Linked DNA regions of Diceros bicornis minor. The protein of the gene in region 2 purifies or fractionates together with the protein of the main gene of each other region. This does not show direct contact. Links are inferred from orthologs where the notes say so. Each region holds a gene or a part of one and is shown on either strand. Other genes may lie near its edges.

Region 1 (7,014 bases), on a different chromosome or scaffold from region 2:
CTGCTAAACATGCAATTTTATCAGTTCTTCAGCATAAAAACATTCAAATACTTTAGGCCCAGAACAATTTCAAAACACTTTCTGTATTTCAGATACTGAGACTACATTCCACCTACTCTTACATTAGACTGACTTTTAGTTAAGTTTATAATTCCCTGGCTAACTAAACTAGTTGCTTCCATAAATAGTTTTTTTTGCATCAGAGACAATTCTAGTCCCATGACCCAATGTGTCTTACGACATAGACACTTGGGAGAAATCACAATCTAACTCATGCTAATCTAATGTGAAGGGATCTTACCTTTAACTTGAAGTACTTTGCTGAACAGCATTGTGAGGAAAGGAGTTAAGCTGTTGAGGACAATCCTCAAAGATCTACTCTGCACTATAATACTAAATACAGGCAAAGTTAGCATTTTGGAAGTACTTAATTTCCACCTTTAAGATGGGCTTAAATTATTTGAAGGTCTCCAGGAAGAAAAAACATTAATTCACCTGCATATACTCACAACCTGTTTTAATATCTGAGCTGCTAAACTTTAAGGTCTATTAAATCACACGTTGCCAGAAGCTAGCCAGAATTCGCTGCTCAGCAACAAACACGACTACATACCTGAGAAGAACTGAACAATTTCTTCCTTGCTACATCCAAAGGGGAGTCCTCTAAGCCGTACAAAGCCATCATTGGCCGTGTCAGGACTATTTGGACCAGTATGCTTCAACACCCAATCCATTTCAACGTTGTTTGACTTGAATACTGAAAGAGGTGCTTAGAATTAGTCAATTTTGGAAAGTTAGAGAACAAAGTTCAGATTTCCTGGGTCTTTAGATAATCTAGGAAGAGCTGCCATAAACTCCCTTAGATGACCATTTCCATGCGGTCAAATACCTAAAATTCAGAAGGGGTAAGATAGATCTCTCTGTGTTTAATGTTTTATTTACTGTTACTAGGGCAACGTAAATCAAACCTTCAACATATCTGTGTCCCATAGTTTCTCTGTCTTTTTTCAGGGCCAATTTGACTTCATCTTCTGATTCAAGTTCAACAAAAGCCTCGCCACTCGGTCTGCCTTCTCTGGTGTAGATGAAACGAATACCTTGAGCCCCATTTTGAATTTTGCAGTCTGGAAAGAAAACAACCGTTAATACAGAATTTAAAACTTAAAACCACCTCTGGGTGATACAGATGAACTGCCTCCTCATGCCCCTACTACAAAGTAGATCATCTGTGAAGCCTAAAATGACCAAATTATTACCAACTTCTAGGATGTCTCTGTCCAGTAATTAAGCAGTTATCCTCTCTCCATCAAACTTTTATTTCCTAGATGATATATTCCCAATCCATCAAAAAAATCCAATATTTAAAGCAGTTTCTAATGAAGTTATCTCTAAGTCCTCACTACCCAAGTGTCTCCCATTCAACATTTTTAACTGGTCAGCAAATTGTCTGGACTTGGTTATTTTGTGGCATTTCCTGAATATACTTAGTTGCAACTTTTCGTCTGCGGCATTTGACCGTTTTACCTTACTAGCAACATGATAGTTTCTTTCTAATCCAAATCGCACTGCCAATACTCACCTGAAAAGGGATCAATGTTACCAAGCTAAAATGCTCCAAGTTGCACAGCTGAAGCCAGACCCAGTCCTGCCCACTGCAAGGCGGCTTCCAGTGTACTTGGTTCTCGTTTTACAGGTCGTTTTCCGTAACCCACGCTAAATTCAGACAGTAAGTCAATACTACAAGTGTCCTTCCAAAACCCGGAAATTTCTTCCATCTTCCAAATATCTTTATCAGTCTAATCTTACACTAATGAGAACAAGGACGTTTTGGTAAAAATTATTCAGGATACTAGAAAAAACTAGATAGGCAAACTTCCCTGGGCTTCCGTGTCCTCAAATGTAAAGTGAGCCAGATCAAGAACTAGATGAGCAAGAACTCTTCAATTACTAAATCTTGATTAGGAAAATTGTCTGAAATTAAGAAGTGACATTTTAACTTTCCGAAGCAGAATGCCCCTTTTCGACAACATACTTTGAAAACTAGAAAGTATACGTTCTATCTTTTAAGACTTTGCAAAACATCACTATTACGCGCGCAGCTACTGGGCAATTCTCTCAAGATTGAGGAGGAAATCCCATCTATCCTTTGGAAAACACATTTACAGGAGGACTAGTGCTCGAGAGTAGGGAAACAAAACAGCCCGCCGGAGAGGCCACGCTCTCCCGAGGGCGGGGGGGCTTTCACAATTTCCATTGCGTAACGGCGGCCGGCGGGATCAGCGGTCGCCCGCCCCGCCAGGGGGCGCCCCGTCCGCCCCGCCAGGACGCCGGCCGCCCGCTGCCCCGGCCGCCAACTCCCGCCTCCGCTCCAAACTCACCAGAGAAGAACCGCTGCACTTCGTCGGCCGAGCAAGACCAGGGCAAGCCCCGCACCTTCACCACGAAGCCCTCTCCGCCCTCGGTGCCCAACATCATCGTCTCCGGCGGGTGCTGGCGTCGACAGACTGCGGGGCGGGACGAGGTCAGCCCGGGAAGCGCTCAAACCAACTGCCCTCCGCCCCAGTGGCGCCCGCTGCCCCGGCGCCTCAAGAAGAGCCGAGCCCGTGCGCACGCCCCAACCCCGGCGACTCTGCCCCCCAACACCCCGCGGCCGGCGACCGGGCCCCCGAGGCCGCTGTGGGCACCAAGCGCCGGCGCCCCGAACCGAGGAGTCCCCGGCCGGGCGCCAGAGTGGAGATGAGGAAATGGCGGCGGCCGCTTCCGCTCCGCCTCCTCCGACGCCTCACACAATAGAGGCGGCGGGGCCTGCAGGCCTCGGCCGCCCTGCGCGGCTCGGCGAGCCGCTCCCGGCTCCCAGGGGCAGCCTGCACCTCGCCACGGCCCCCCAGGCTCTACAGAAGTCTAGGGACACGCACTCCTCGCGAAAACGGCATCCTCGAGGGCCCCCGGGGGGGGGGGGGGCGAACACGGAGCGACACACACTCACCCAGACAAACGACTTCAGCGTGGCTGAGAAGAAATGGCCAGCGAGCGCCTGCGCAACCTAAATAAGGCCCTTCGAACAAGTTCTGCGCACGCGCAGCCAGAGGCCCGCACCGCCCGCTTGCGTCACACAGACATAGAGCGCATGCGTAATTTCATGAGCAAGCTCACCTCCAGCCAGCAAGTTATTGTGCGCATGCGTCTTGAGCTCAGCCCCTCCCACCTCCTTACACCCGCCGGGCTTTTTTGCGCCTGCGCCTTGTCGCGATTATTGAACTTCGAGCCTTGGCGGTTTAGACAGTCATTTAGTTTCATGCGCATGCGTCTTCCTTCAAGCGGTTCTCGCCCTACCCGCCACAGTGGGGGAGGGGAATGGCGGCAGTCAGTTCCCTATGGGGACAGTGTGATAGTCCCGGGCTCTGGGTCGTGGCGAGGGGGCCGTCTTCCTACCCCTACCCGCAGCCTATTATCAGCGCTCTTGGCCGACCTGAAAGGACAGGCTCCCCGCCCTCGCGCCACCTGTACCCCCTTTCTCCCTAGAGCCCGGCGATGACCACCGGGCCTCTCTTGGGGCTGCGGGGCCGCGCAGGCCTGTGCCTCCACCTTCCCGTTACCTGCCGCCGTCGGGCCTGGGCCCGGCCCGCGCGGGGTCCCCGTGCTCTGACTCAGTCCCGCACCCCGCCTTCGCCCTAAGGAACTCGCCCCCCACGACCCCGCCGCCCGCCCCAGGGTCGTGGGCCCTGACGCCGCGGGGCGCTCCTAGAGAGCGGGGACCGGATGTCGACTGCCGCGCGCGGGGGGAGCGCGAGCGAGCCGTCGGCGCGCGCCGGCTCTTTCCGGCTTCGTTCCCCCAAGACTAAGTAGGTACCGTTACATCCATTTCCCGGGTGGAGACGCTGGGAGGTGACCCAGGGTCGCCGCGTGTGCGCATATTGCACGAGACGAGCGATGGTCTCGATTTCCAGGTGCGGGAAATTGGAACAATGCCCGCAGCCCCTCAGGTCTCCCCTTCTCTGATCCTGCCAGTCCTTCCCACCTCAGGCCCGGTGGACACAGGCAGTAAACACATTAAAGATAAGGCAGTGTTGGACGTTAGTGAAGGCCTCTCTGAGTGCCACCACGGGAAGATGCGGACAAAGCATGTTCCCTCCCAAGCACAATGGTCTGGAGGCCAAATCCGGTTTTGACAGGTGTGAGAAAACAGAGACGACATCAGTGAAATAAAGGGGGAGGGTGATCCAAGATAGGATCCCAGAGCTAGGCAAGGCCTGATCTTGAAATGACCTTGAAATGCCATTTAGGCCTTGGCAAGGGTGTTAACTCCCGGTGCACGGGAAGGCATTGGCAGGTCTTCAGCAGAGAGCGAGAGGAGCTGTTTGTAAAGGAAAACGCAGTTGCTGGGAGTGAGGGGGACACAGATGGAACAGGCAGGGTGAAGGACGCTGCCTGCCCTCAACTGCAAACGGAGCTGGAGGAAATGGAAGGCCTTTTGACTGATGTCACCAAAATGTGGACTCCCAAGTCTTCCAAACAGGAGGTCTGTCTCTGGGTGATTCAAAACCAAGGAGAGGGGCCTGCCCCATGGCACAGCGGTTAAGTGTGCGCGCTCCGCTGCCGCGGCCTGGGGTTCGCAGGTTCGGATCCCTCGCGCACATGACGCACCGCTTGTCAAGCCGTGCTGTGGTGGCATCCCATATAAAGTAGAAGAAGATGGGCACGGGTGTTAGCCTAGGGCCAATCTTCCTCAGCAAAAAGAGGAGGATTGGCATCAGATGGTAGCTCAGGACTGATCTTCCTCACAAAAAAAAAAAAAGGGAAAGAAAAAGCAAGGAGAACACTTTTTGCTCTTGGATACTCTCTTTCCAGGACATCACCAAGACACCTCCTGGTGTGTCTTCTTAATAGGTGACAGCATTTGAGAGTTCTGGTCTTATTAAATGACCTAAGAACACTAGTTTCTGATTATATGAGGGAAAAACCCTGATCCCCTTGGTAGTGCATAAAAAATCATATTTTTACCTTTTGTAACAACAAGGCCACATTTCTAAAGTGTTTATTTTTCCTAATTTTTTTCTAAAGTTTTCTCGGATTTTCTTCCTTAATAAGAGTAAATGTCATGTATAATCATCATAGAAAGATTAGATCATATCCTTAGGATAGATTTCTAGAAGTAAAATTATTCAATGGGAGGTCTGAGTATTTTTAGGACTACTAATAAAAAAAGGTTATGGCACTTGACAACCCTCTCTGTGGTGTGTGAGTGTTCCATATCCCCTTGTTTTGCTGACACTGAAAATTTCCTTTCCTTTAATCTCTGCTAATTTAATACTGAGAAGACTCGTATCTCTAATTTGCATCTGTTTATTACTAGCAAGGTAAAGTAAATTTTATACACTTATAGCCAATTCCCTCTTATATAAACTGTCAGTTTGACTTCTTTCTCCAGTGATCTTTGGTTTTTATTAAAGCTATTAACCCTTGGCCATAGTTGCCCCAAATGTTTTTGTTTGCTTGCCTTTTAATTGTTGTTGTTGTTATTGGTTTTTATGTTTAGACATACAGAAGTTTTTTGTTGTTTTGCTGAGGAAGATTTGCCCAGTTGCCAGTCTTCCTCTGTTTTGTATGTGAGCTGCCGCCACAGCATGGCCACTGATAGATGAATGGTGTAGGTCCGAGCTGAGGAGCCTAACCTGGGCCAATGAAGTGGAGCATGCTGAACTTAACCACTAGGCCAGCAGGCCTGGCCCCAGAAGTTTTTAATTTTGATGAAGCCATGGGTGCTTTCCTCTGAGTCTGTCTTTAAGCTCAGAAAACCCTTCCCTATACAGAGATAAAGCACATATTTATTCATTATCTTTTTTATCAATTCTAAAACACACATTTTCTCACAGTTTAACCTCTCTAAAATAGCAATATGTCTTAAAAACCAATGGCATATCATAGTTTAATTGGCAGCATTTTTTTCTTAGTGGTACACAAATAATGGTGTGTCTTAAGATTGATGATACCTTAGACTTGATGGAAACTGTTATAGTCTACTTTTTTCTTTAATTTTTTTGATGACAGATTACAGCCATTAAAATTATGTTTTATAGATTTTTTTTAAATGGTGTGAAGAAATGTTTGTGATATAATGGTTTGTGGGGAAAAAAGCAGAATACAAAATTAAAAAGTGGTATATCAACCATGTAAAACTCTGTCAATGTTATATTAAAGCACTGTAGCCCCAGCACAGAAAGAAACAGCTCAGTGGGACAAAATCTAGAAACAGGTCCAAGGTGTATTTGGGAATTCAGCATTCAATGAGGTGATATGTCACATCAGAATGAAAAGAATTTTCTAAAAATGGTGTTAAATCCAATGACTAGAAATTTGGGAAAAAATAGTATTCACACTATACATCAAAATAAACTCTAAATAGATTAGAAAGATTTATGGGCCGGCGCCATGGCTTAGCGGTTAAGTGCGTGCGCTCCGATGCTGGCGGCCCAGGTTCAATCCCGGACGCGCACCGACGCACCGCTTCTCCGGCCACGCTGAGGCCGGGTCCCACATACAGCAACTAGAAAGATGTGCAGCTATGATGTACAACTATCTACTGGGGCTTTGGGGGAAAAAATAAATAAATAAAATTAAAAAAAAGATTTAAACTTGAAGTATGTAAAGCTAAAGGTACTAAAATAAAATGTATGTGTTTATAAATTTTTGAGATGAGGAAGGCATTTCTAAGTGTGAAATCAAAGACATAACCACAAAGGGAAAGACTGGTACATTGGCTACAGAAAAATAATTTTTAAAATTCTGTATTGAATAAAGCGAGAGAATTGAAAGACAAATAAATTGACAATTTGCAACACATTTGAAACACAAAGAATGTATGTGTGTGCATGCACACAGTGTGTGAAATATATACACACGTAAATATATACATATGTACATAAATAGACAGGAAATGTTCACTCTGTCCTAGTGTGTTACATACAGTATCTCATCTAAATAACCCAATGGGAGATATGTACTATTATTATCCCC
Region 2 (7,491 bases):
GGTTCGTTAAGTGGAGGTAAAGAGGAAATTTCAGATCAATCTGGATATTTTGATATATTTTTGTAGAAATGACAGAAATGGCTACATATACACATTCATATATACTTAAAGCATTGATTAGACCTAGAAGAAAATGTAAAAAGATATACGCTACATCGTGGCTTAATGTGTAGGTTTGCACCTGGGATCCGAACCCGCAAACCCTGGGCAGCCGAAGTAGAGCGTGCAAACTTAACCACTACATCACCAGGCTGGCCCCTATTACATTGTTGACTGTGGTTAGATCTGTGTAATAGGATTTGAGGGGAGAGATTTCTGTTTTGTTTTGTGTTTTATTTTATATATTCCTTATTTAAAAATCAAGATTTTTAGAAAAATAAAGCTATTGGTGTATTCTGAATTTTCACTGGCAGATAACAAAGTTTATTGTATATTACAATTCTTCCCTTCTAAGAATTACCTTCCTCCTGTCCAAAATATTTTCAATTTCCATTCTCGGGCCGGCCCTGTGGCTTAGCGGGTAAGTGTGCGTGCTCCGCTGCTGGCGGCCTGGGTTCGGATCCCGGGCATGCACCGACACACCACTTCTCCGGCCATGCTGAGGCCACGTCCCACATACAGCAACTAGAAGGATGTGCAACTATGACATACAACTATCTACTGGGGCTTTGGGGAAAAATAAAAGGAGGAGGATTGGCAATGGATGTTAGCTCAGGGCTGATCTTCCTCACAAAAAAAAAAAAGTTTCCGTTCTCTTTCAGTACTAACTGTGCCATAATTTGCTATTAATCTTGGAAAAATCAACTCCTTGATCTGCATAGCAGCTTCCTCATTCATAAAATGAAGTGTACAATCCAGACAGCACTTCCCAACTAGCGGGCTTTGGCACACTGGTGTCCTGAATGTGGGTGAGAAATTGATCCCTCCTGCAATGGAGCAGTTGAGAGGAGTCAGGGGCAGCCAGAGTCTCCTGGGCCAGTACCTCCGGCCATAAGCAGGCTTGTTTAGGGCTCCTCAGGGCAGCCTGTGCAGAGCAGTCTGGGGCTTATGCCAAAGATGCAGCAAGCACAGTGGACAACAACCAGCACTTACAGTTCTCCTGTCTGTGGATGGCCAAGGATGCTTGCCACATGGGCATCTATCTGCAAAGCACTCCACTGCCCACCATGAATCAGAGTCTCTGAAGCCAATGCACAAGTTTGTGATCCAGGTACCCAAGGGGCATAGCACACAGCCCCAGAGGTAGTCTGCTAGGGGTGTGAGAGAGGAGCCTGAGTAGAGCGGGGTTCCTGGTGGGCTCAGCTCCAGGCAATGCCCTTAATATGTGTCTTAACATACAGTGGCTATTTCTATCCCTTTGTGGTGATGCACTCTTTTAATGGCCCCCAGACTAGCTGTTGACAATGCATGCACGTTCTGAAAGCTAGAGTTTCAATGTGGAAATCTTGATATAAAAATGTACTACTGGGTTTGAAATCCATTTGCATTATCATATGAAACTGCAACATTACATTAGTCAATAAAAGGAAGAGTTGTTATTCTTTAAATATAATTACCACTGTAAATTTTGAATAGTTGTATAAAATGGTTTTAAATATTTTATCACCCACTTTTGTGATCAGAGTCCCTCACTGATAATTACTATTCAGAATATGAGTTTGTCATTAAAAAGTCTAGATCAGAAACTGCATAAAGCCATTTAAACCATAAAACCTAATATCAAAATATACTCACAGAAACAAGATCAAGTCGATCATTAAAAATGATGGAAAAATTTTACTTGAAAGTTTTATTCAAATTCAATTTTTTTAAAAGCCATAGCAGTTCCCTTTTTTTTTTTTTTGAGGAAAATTGGCCCTGAGCTAACATCTGTCGCCAATCTTCCTCTTTTTTTTCCTTTCTTCTCCCTAAAGCCCCAGTACATAGTTGTATATCCTAGTTGTAGGTCCTTCTAGTTCTTCTATGTGGGACGCTGCCTCAGCATGGCTTGATGAGTGGTGAGTAGGTCCTCACCCAGGATCCGAACCGGCAAACCCCGGGCCACCAAAGCGGAACACGAGAACTTAACTGCTATGCCACCAGGCCGGCCCCCAAATTCAATTTTTAATATCTTCTCTGGTACGTTGTATTTTATTTTTTTACCAACCATCATTTAGATGCCTCCAAATCTCTTCGTTTTTGTAACCTAGTGTGCTATATAAAACTTATTTTCTGTATGTGTTGTGATATGAAAGAAGTTGAGAGGCGCTGATATAGATTATTTATAAAGTCTGTCTGCCACCCCATCCCACCCTAGGACCCTTGTCCTCTGCTCCCCACCCCATACACTCTCTCTCTCACATTTCAAAGACAGCCAGGGCCACAAGGACAGATAGGAGGCACGGTTCAGCTCTGTCCAATAGGGTAAAGATCTTGAGCAGGGATATTTGTATTAGATACCATGTGGCCCCAGAGCTGGAGGGTAAGCTTAGACAAAAGCATAAAAAATAGCTAATGTCTAAAACCCAGAGGCCGGATGAACAACAAGTCTGGACGAATCCAAAGGGAAGAATCCACATTTTACTGAAGGACAAAATACCTGAATAAATGGACTGACAGACCACCTTCCTGTATGGAAGTACTTAGTATCCCATCCCTCATCATTTCTCCAATACAAGAATTTAATACAATTCAAAGAAGAAAGAATAATAACAGAAGTTATTGATTAGAAACAACTTGGTTAGAAAATACCCAAACATGCCCTAAAGTGAAGCCAAGCGATCAGCCTTTTGGATCAACCTTGCAGTGTCTCATAGGGTACCTTGCTGTGAATACCATCTTCCTAAGGTCTTTAACTTTGTGTTTTTGTACATACCCAGAATTGATCAAGTTATTCATGACTATTTCATAGTAATCAAACTCACAAAGCCTTGATATATTAATGAGACAATAAGAATATAAATTTTCCCATTGTCTCAAGCACTGTTGTTGGCTATGAGGAGTACCTTATAAGCAGAACACATAATAGTTTGCTTGTGATAATGGAATCAGAGCAACAGGAGGCGGCTAGTTTGGAAGATTATCTCATCCAAGTTACATTAAGGCCTGGTGACTGGTTTCTATCCTGGAGCAGAGTACCTTCTGTTTATGTCTCCCAAATAAAACTCCTGTTCCGCTTGGCCAATGCTTGATAAACATCAACAAATTCTTATTCTTTGTGTTTCCTTTTTCCAAACTCCAAGCCAACCATTCCCCATTTATTAACACAAACTGTTTTTCAAACAATTTACACTATAATTGACTAGATTTCTAATCTTCCAAGGGAGGGCCTGATCAATTCTAAAGGAGCTGCTCATATGCATTGCTACATTAAAATACAGGGCATTTCTTAGCAGGATAAGGAAACTTGTCAATTGCGGTCACTTTCACCAGCACTTTTGTTTAAACATGGATCCATTAATTTAAGACTATCATAAGTGTTGGGGATCACCTAATCTCATCCCCATTTTTATTGAAAAAATTAAAACTAAAACTCAGTAAGGGTCAAATGATTTAAAATCACTTGGCTAGGCCGAGAAAGGATTAGAGCTCTAGTTTTTAACTCTTTAATTGAGCTCGTTCATTACACTTCACAACACAATTGGAAAATTAAGGTAAAAATCACTGGCGAACAGATAGCATATGTGGTGATCCTACTTTTGGAAACCTTGTAAACCTTTCCTTAAAATCCGTCGGTGCGAACATTTGCTTCAGCTCTTTCCACACTAACTAGAAAAGTGTTAGAAAATGGTGCCGACAGATTTCTTGAGATCAATGAGTCCCTAACGAACTGACCTCGATCAGTCCTGCCTCAGCTCGTTAAAGGTGAAATTTCAGTATGTCAGCCGCGTTTTAAGGCTTTTCCAAGGTGCCCAAGATTCATATACGGCGGCGTCGCAAGGCTTTTCAGTGCAGGCCCTCACAGTGGGCATCGCAGTCACAAAACTTGGTCCCTGGCATTTGGAAACGTGCGAGAAGACGCCGCGAGAGGGCTTTCTTGTAACCTTAAAGTAGTACAGGAGAAAAGAAGTGTGGTTTTATTCAGACACGAGAATGAAATGAAATCGGAAACGGAGACCCAGGGGCCTACGTGGGGGAGGGGGGAAAAACGCGCGAGAAGAAAGGGAAAGGCTTTTTTCTCCGGTGACGCGCGGTCACGAGGCGCCCTCCCGACGTGGGCGCTCGCCATTGGTTGAGCCCGAGCTGACGTCCCCGCAGCCGCCCGAGCGCGAACCGCGGCAAGGGCGGCGCCGCGCTGGAAGTTGGCGAGGCGCGCGCGCTCCCGCGACCCGCCACGCCCCCGCCCTCCGCCCGCCAACCCGCTCGTCCAGTCCTTCTTCGCGCCCAGTTGGCTACGCCCCCTTTCCAACTCGCCCCTCCCCCACCGGGCCGGCGGCGCGCAGAAAGCGCGTCACGTGACGGCTGGCCCCGCCTCTTCCTCTCGGTCCCATATTGAACTCGAGTTGGAAGAGGCGAGTCCGGTCTCAAAATGGAGGTAAAACCGCCGCCCGGTCGCCCCCAGCCCGACTCCGGCCGTCGCCGCCGCCGCCGGGGGGAGGAGGTATTAGGGGGAGAGCGGGGGGTTGACGGGTAGTGGCCGGCGTGGGGGGCCTGGCTCGGTGGGAGCGGGGAGGCCGGGTGGACCGGGTCGGCCGTCCCGCGCTCTGCGCTGAGACGGGCGGTGGGAGGGGGAGGGGAGCGGGCCTCGGAGGCCTCCTCGGGGCCCCTCGTCCGCCTCGCCTTCTCCTTCGGCTGCACAGGTGGCTCTTCGGAGGCGCGGCGTGGCTGGGGAGCCCTCGGGAGGCGAGCCGGGCCGCCGGCCGCGCGGCCTCGCATCCGGGGCCGAGGGCGGCATGGCGGGCCTCGGCGGGAGCGGTTGGGAGGAGGCGGTGGGGGAGGGGAGGGGACGAGCAGGCACATCCGGGCGAGCAAGCAGGCGGGCGGCGGCCACATTGACATTGATCCGCTGCCGCGTTACGAAATGGCGCATTGGCCCGCAATGGCCGCCGCCTCGCTCCGCCGCCGGGAAAGAGCGCGGCATTGCAAGGAAGAGAGAGGAGGCAGCTCGGCAAAAAATGCCGCAAATGGCCTCGAAGCTCGGGCGTTGTGCTTTCGCTGAAGTTCTGCCGGCGCGTTTCTAGGTCTTACAGACCTCTCTAAGGCAACGAGAATTTAATTCTCTATCCTGTTCTTTTCTTCGCAGCACCCAGTTGGAAATATGAATTTTTTAAAAAGTTTGCTGCTTAAAAATGCTTCCTGATCTGCTATTCTTGCTAAACTACTTAGAATTATACCTATCTTCGCGCCATGTGGGTGAAGTACTCTATCTCAGAACTTGAGTGTAGATGTGAAATAGGAACTTGAAATTTTTTTGATCTCCGTTTTTCTCATTTCTCATGATGGGTCGGCTCTGGTTGTAGTTTCTTGGATTTTTGTTTCAGAGGACTGCAACCACAGTTGAATTTTTCATGTGAGATAATTTTAAGTGGATTATAATTGTTTCTTTTTGTGAACTTTGTATATTGTCATTTAAACGCATTTAACCTAGACGAGAAAATGAGACTAAGTGAATTAATGCTTTAGGCTATTAATCATTTAACGTTTTTTTCTAGCGCGTGACAGCCTCTTCATGTTAAATGACTTAAGTCTACTTTTAGAAGACACAGGAAGACATTAGAATGTAAATGTGAGCTCTTTCATTTAAGGACTTTGGATGAACGATATCTTAATGCATGCATTAAATGGCAGTTTATGTAATTTCTTAAACAGGTAGTTGTAAAAGAATTCAGGCCGCATCTTAATTTTTAAGAAAAATCTCAATTCTGTTCTATTGTGCTCCATTCTGGTCAAGCAGTATATGCTATAAAGTCCACGTTGCCCTTTTTCTACCTTATGAGGTATTATATTTGAAGTTTTGCCATTTGATACCAGTGCAAATAGGTCATTTGCAGCATGTAACCTGTAACGTAAATTGGTTACAGAAAGCTATTAAGATACGTGGTGGATTTTTTCCATAGGTTTTTTTGAGGGTAAATGCTGGTTTAGCCTTTTATTGAGGAATATCTGTCTTAACATTTTGATTTGCCTGAGCCAGTGACTTTCTCTAAATTTGTCACTTAAAATTTTTAAGTTGTACTTCACAGTTTTGTGGTTTAAAATTAAAACTTGTTGGGATGTAGACTGAGGAGGGAAAACATGAAAAGAAATGGCATGGATGAAACACTGCTTTACAACACTTTGGTCATTCTTAGAAAATGGTTTCTCAGTAGCAATTTCTGAAATAATGTATCCCACACTCTTGTAGTTGTAGCTTTAAATTAAGGGGCTTTTGATTCTGGAATTCGGTTGGATTTCAATTTAGTTGAAGTGATGTCATTTGAAAGGCTGGTAATAGATTTTCTTGGTCTTTTGCTTCCTTTAATCAGTTGATGTGTGTGATCTTACTGTAATTTTTAACTGGACAAAGTGTTAATGGTACAGGAATTTGATGTTGAGTTACTATTTGGAGCAGATTAAAGGCTTGCAAATCTTTTTTAGCAATTCACCTAGTAAAAGAAATAATTAAAATGTATTGGTTTGTTTCCTCAGGGCCATGATCCAAAGGAACCAGAGCAGTTGAGAAAACTGTTTATTGGTGGTCTGAGCTTTGAAACTACAGATGATAGTTTAAGAGAACATTTTGAGAAATGGGGCACCCTTACAGATTGTGTGGTAAGTTACTAAAGGAGCAAAAAGAGATTCTTAAAGGGTAGAGGAGCTTTGGAGGTGTGTTTCAGTGTTTTTAAATTTTTATTTTGTAGGTAATGAGAGACCCCCAAACAAAACGTTCCAGGGGCTTTGGTTTTGTGACTTACTCTTGTGTTGAAGAGGTGGATGCAGCAATGTGTGCTCGACCACACAAGGTTGATGGGCGTGTAGTAGAACCAAAGAGAGCTGTTTCTAGAGAGGTATCTTATTAATACCATGTTGTGTAACATGAAATTGTTGTAAAATTTTGGGTTTTTTGACTTAGGAAATTTTTATTTGCAGGATTCTGTAAAGCCTGGTGCCCATCTAACAGTGAAGAAAATTTTTGTGGGTGGTATTAAAGAAGATACAGAAGAATATAATTTGAGAGACTACTTTGAAAAGTATGGCAAGATTGAAACCATAGAAGTTATGGAAGACAGGCAGAGTGGAAAAAAGAGAGGATTTGCTTTTGTAACTTTTGATGATCATGATACAGTTGATAAAATTGTTGGTAAGTAGCAGTTTATTGGAACTTGAATGAGAAAGCAGAAACGACTTCTCGTTCTACACTAGATTTGGTCAAAAGCTTATAATTGTATATCATACATAATAGTATATAATGTGTGGTTCAGTTTTCATAACGTGACTACACCTGTGTAACCAGCATCCGGATCAAGAAATAAACGTTATTAACATCCCAGATCGCTCCCTCATCCCCACTCAAAGTCACTCCCTTCTTAATGA

The links.
Region 1: the proteins of HNRNPA3 (region 2) and HNRNPH1 fractionate together in Homo sapiens (co-fractionation; 3 studies listed by BioGRID and IntAct, with this or other methods). This does not show direct contact. The link is inferred for Diceros bicornis minor from reciprocal best matches to the Homo sapiens genes HNRNPA3 and HNRNPH1.

The regions. Positions count from the first base shown.
Region 1 is NC_080740.1:92,600,655-92,607,668, forward strand, and holds the start of HNRNPH1 (heterogeneous nuclear ribonucleoprotein H), read right to left. Parts: upstream 3,006-7,014; 5' UTR 2,987-3,005; intron 2,505-2,986; 5' UTR 2,476-2,504; coding exon 2,379-2,475; intron 1,125-2,378; coding exon 969-1,124; intron 758-968; coding exon 614-757; intron 1-613. UniProt on the Homo sapiens protein: This protein is a component of the heterogeneous nuclear ribonucleoprotein (hnRNP) complexes which provide the substrate for the processing events that pre-mRNAs undergo before becoming functional, translatable mRNAs in the cytoplasm.
Region 2 is NC_080749.1:57,778,140-57,785,630, forward strand, and holds the start of HNRNPA3 (heterogeneous nuclear ribonucleoprotein A3), read left to right. Parts: upstream 1-4,470; 5' UTR 4,471-4,507; coding exon 4,508-4,579; intron 4,580-6,606; coding exon 6,607-6,729; intron 6,730-6,818; coding exon 6,819-6,965; intron 6,966-7,047; coding exon 7,048-7,258; intron 7,259-7,491. UniProt on the Homo sapiens protein: Plays a role in cytoplasmic trafficking of RNA. Binds to the cis-acting response element, A2RE. May be involved in pre-mRNA splicing.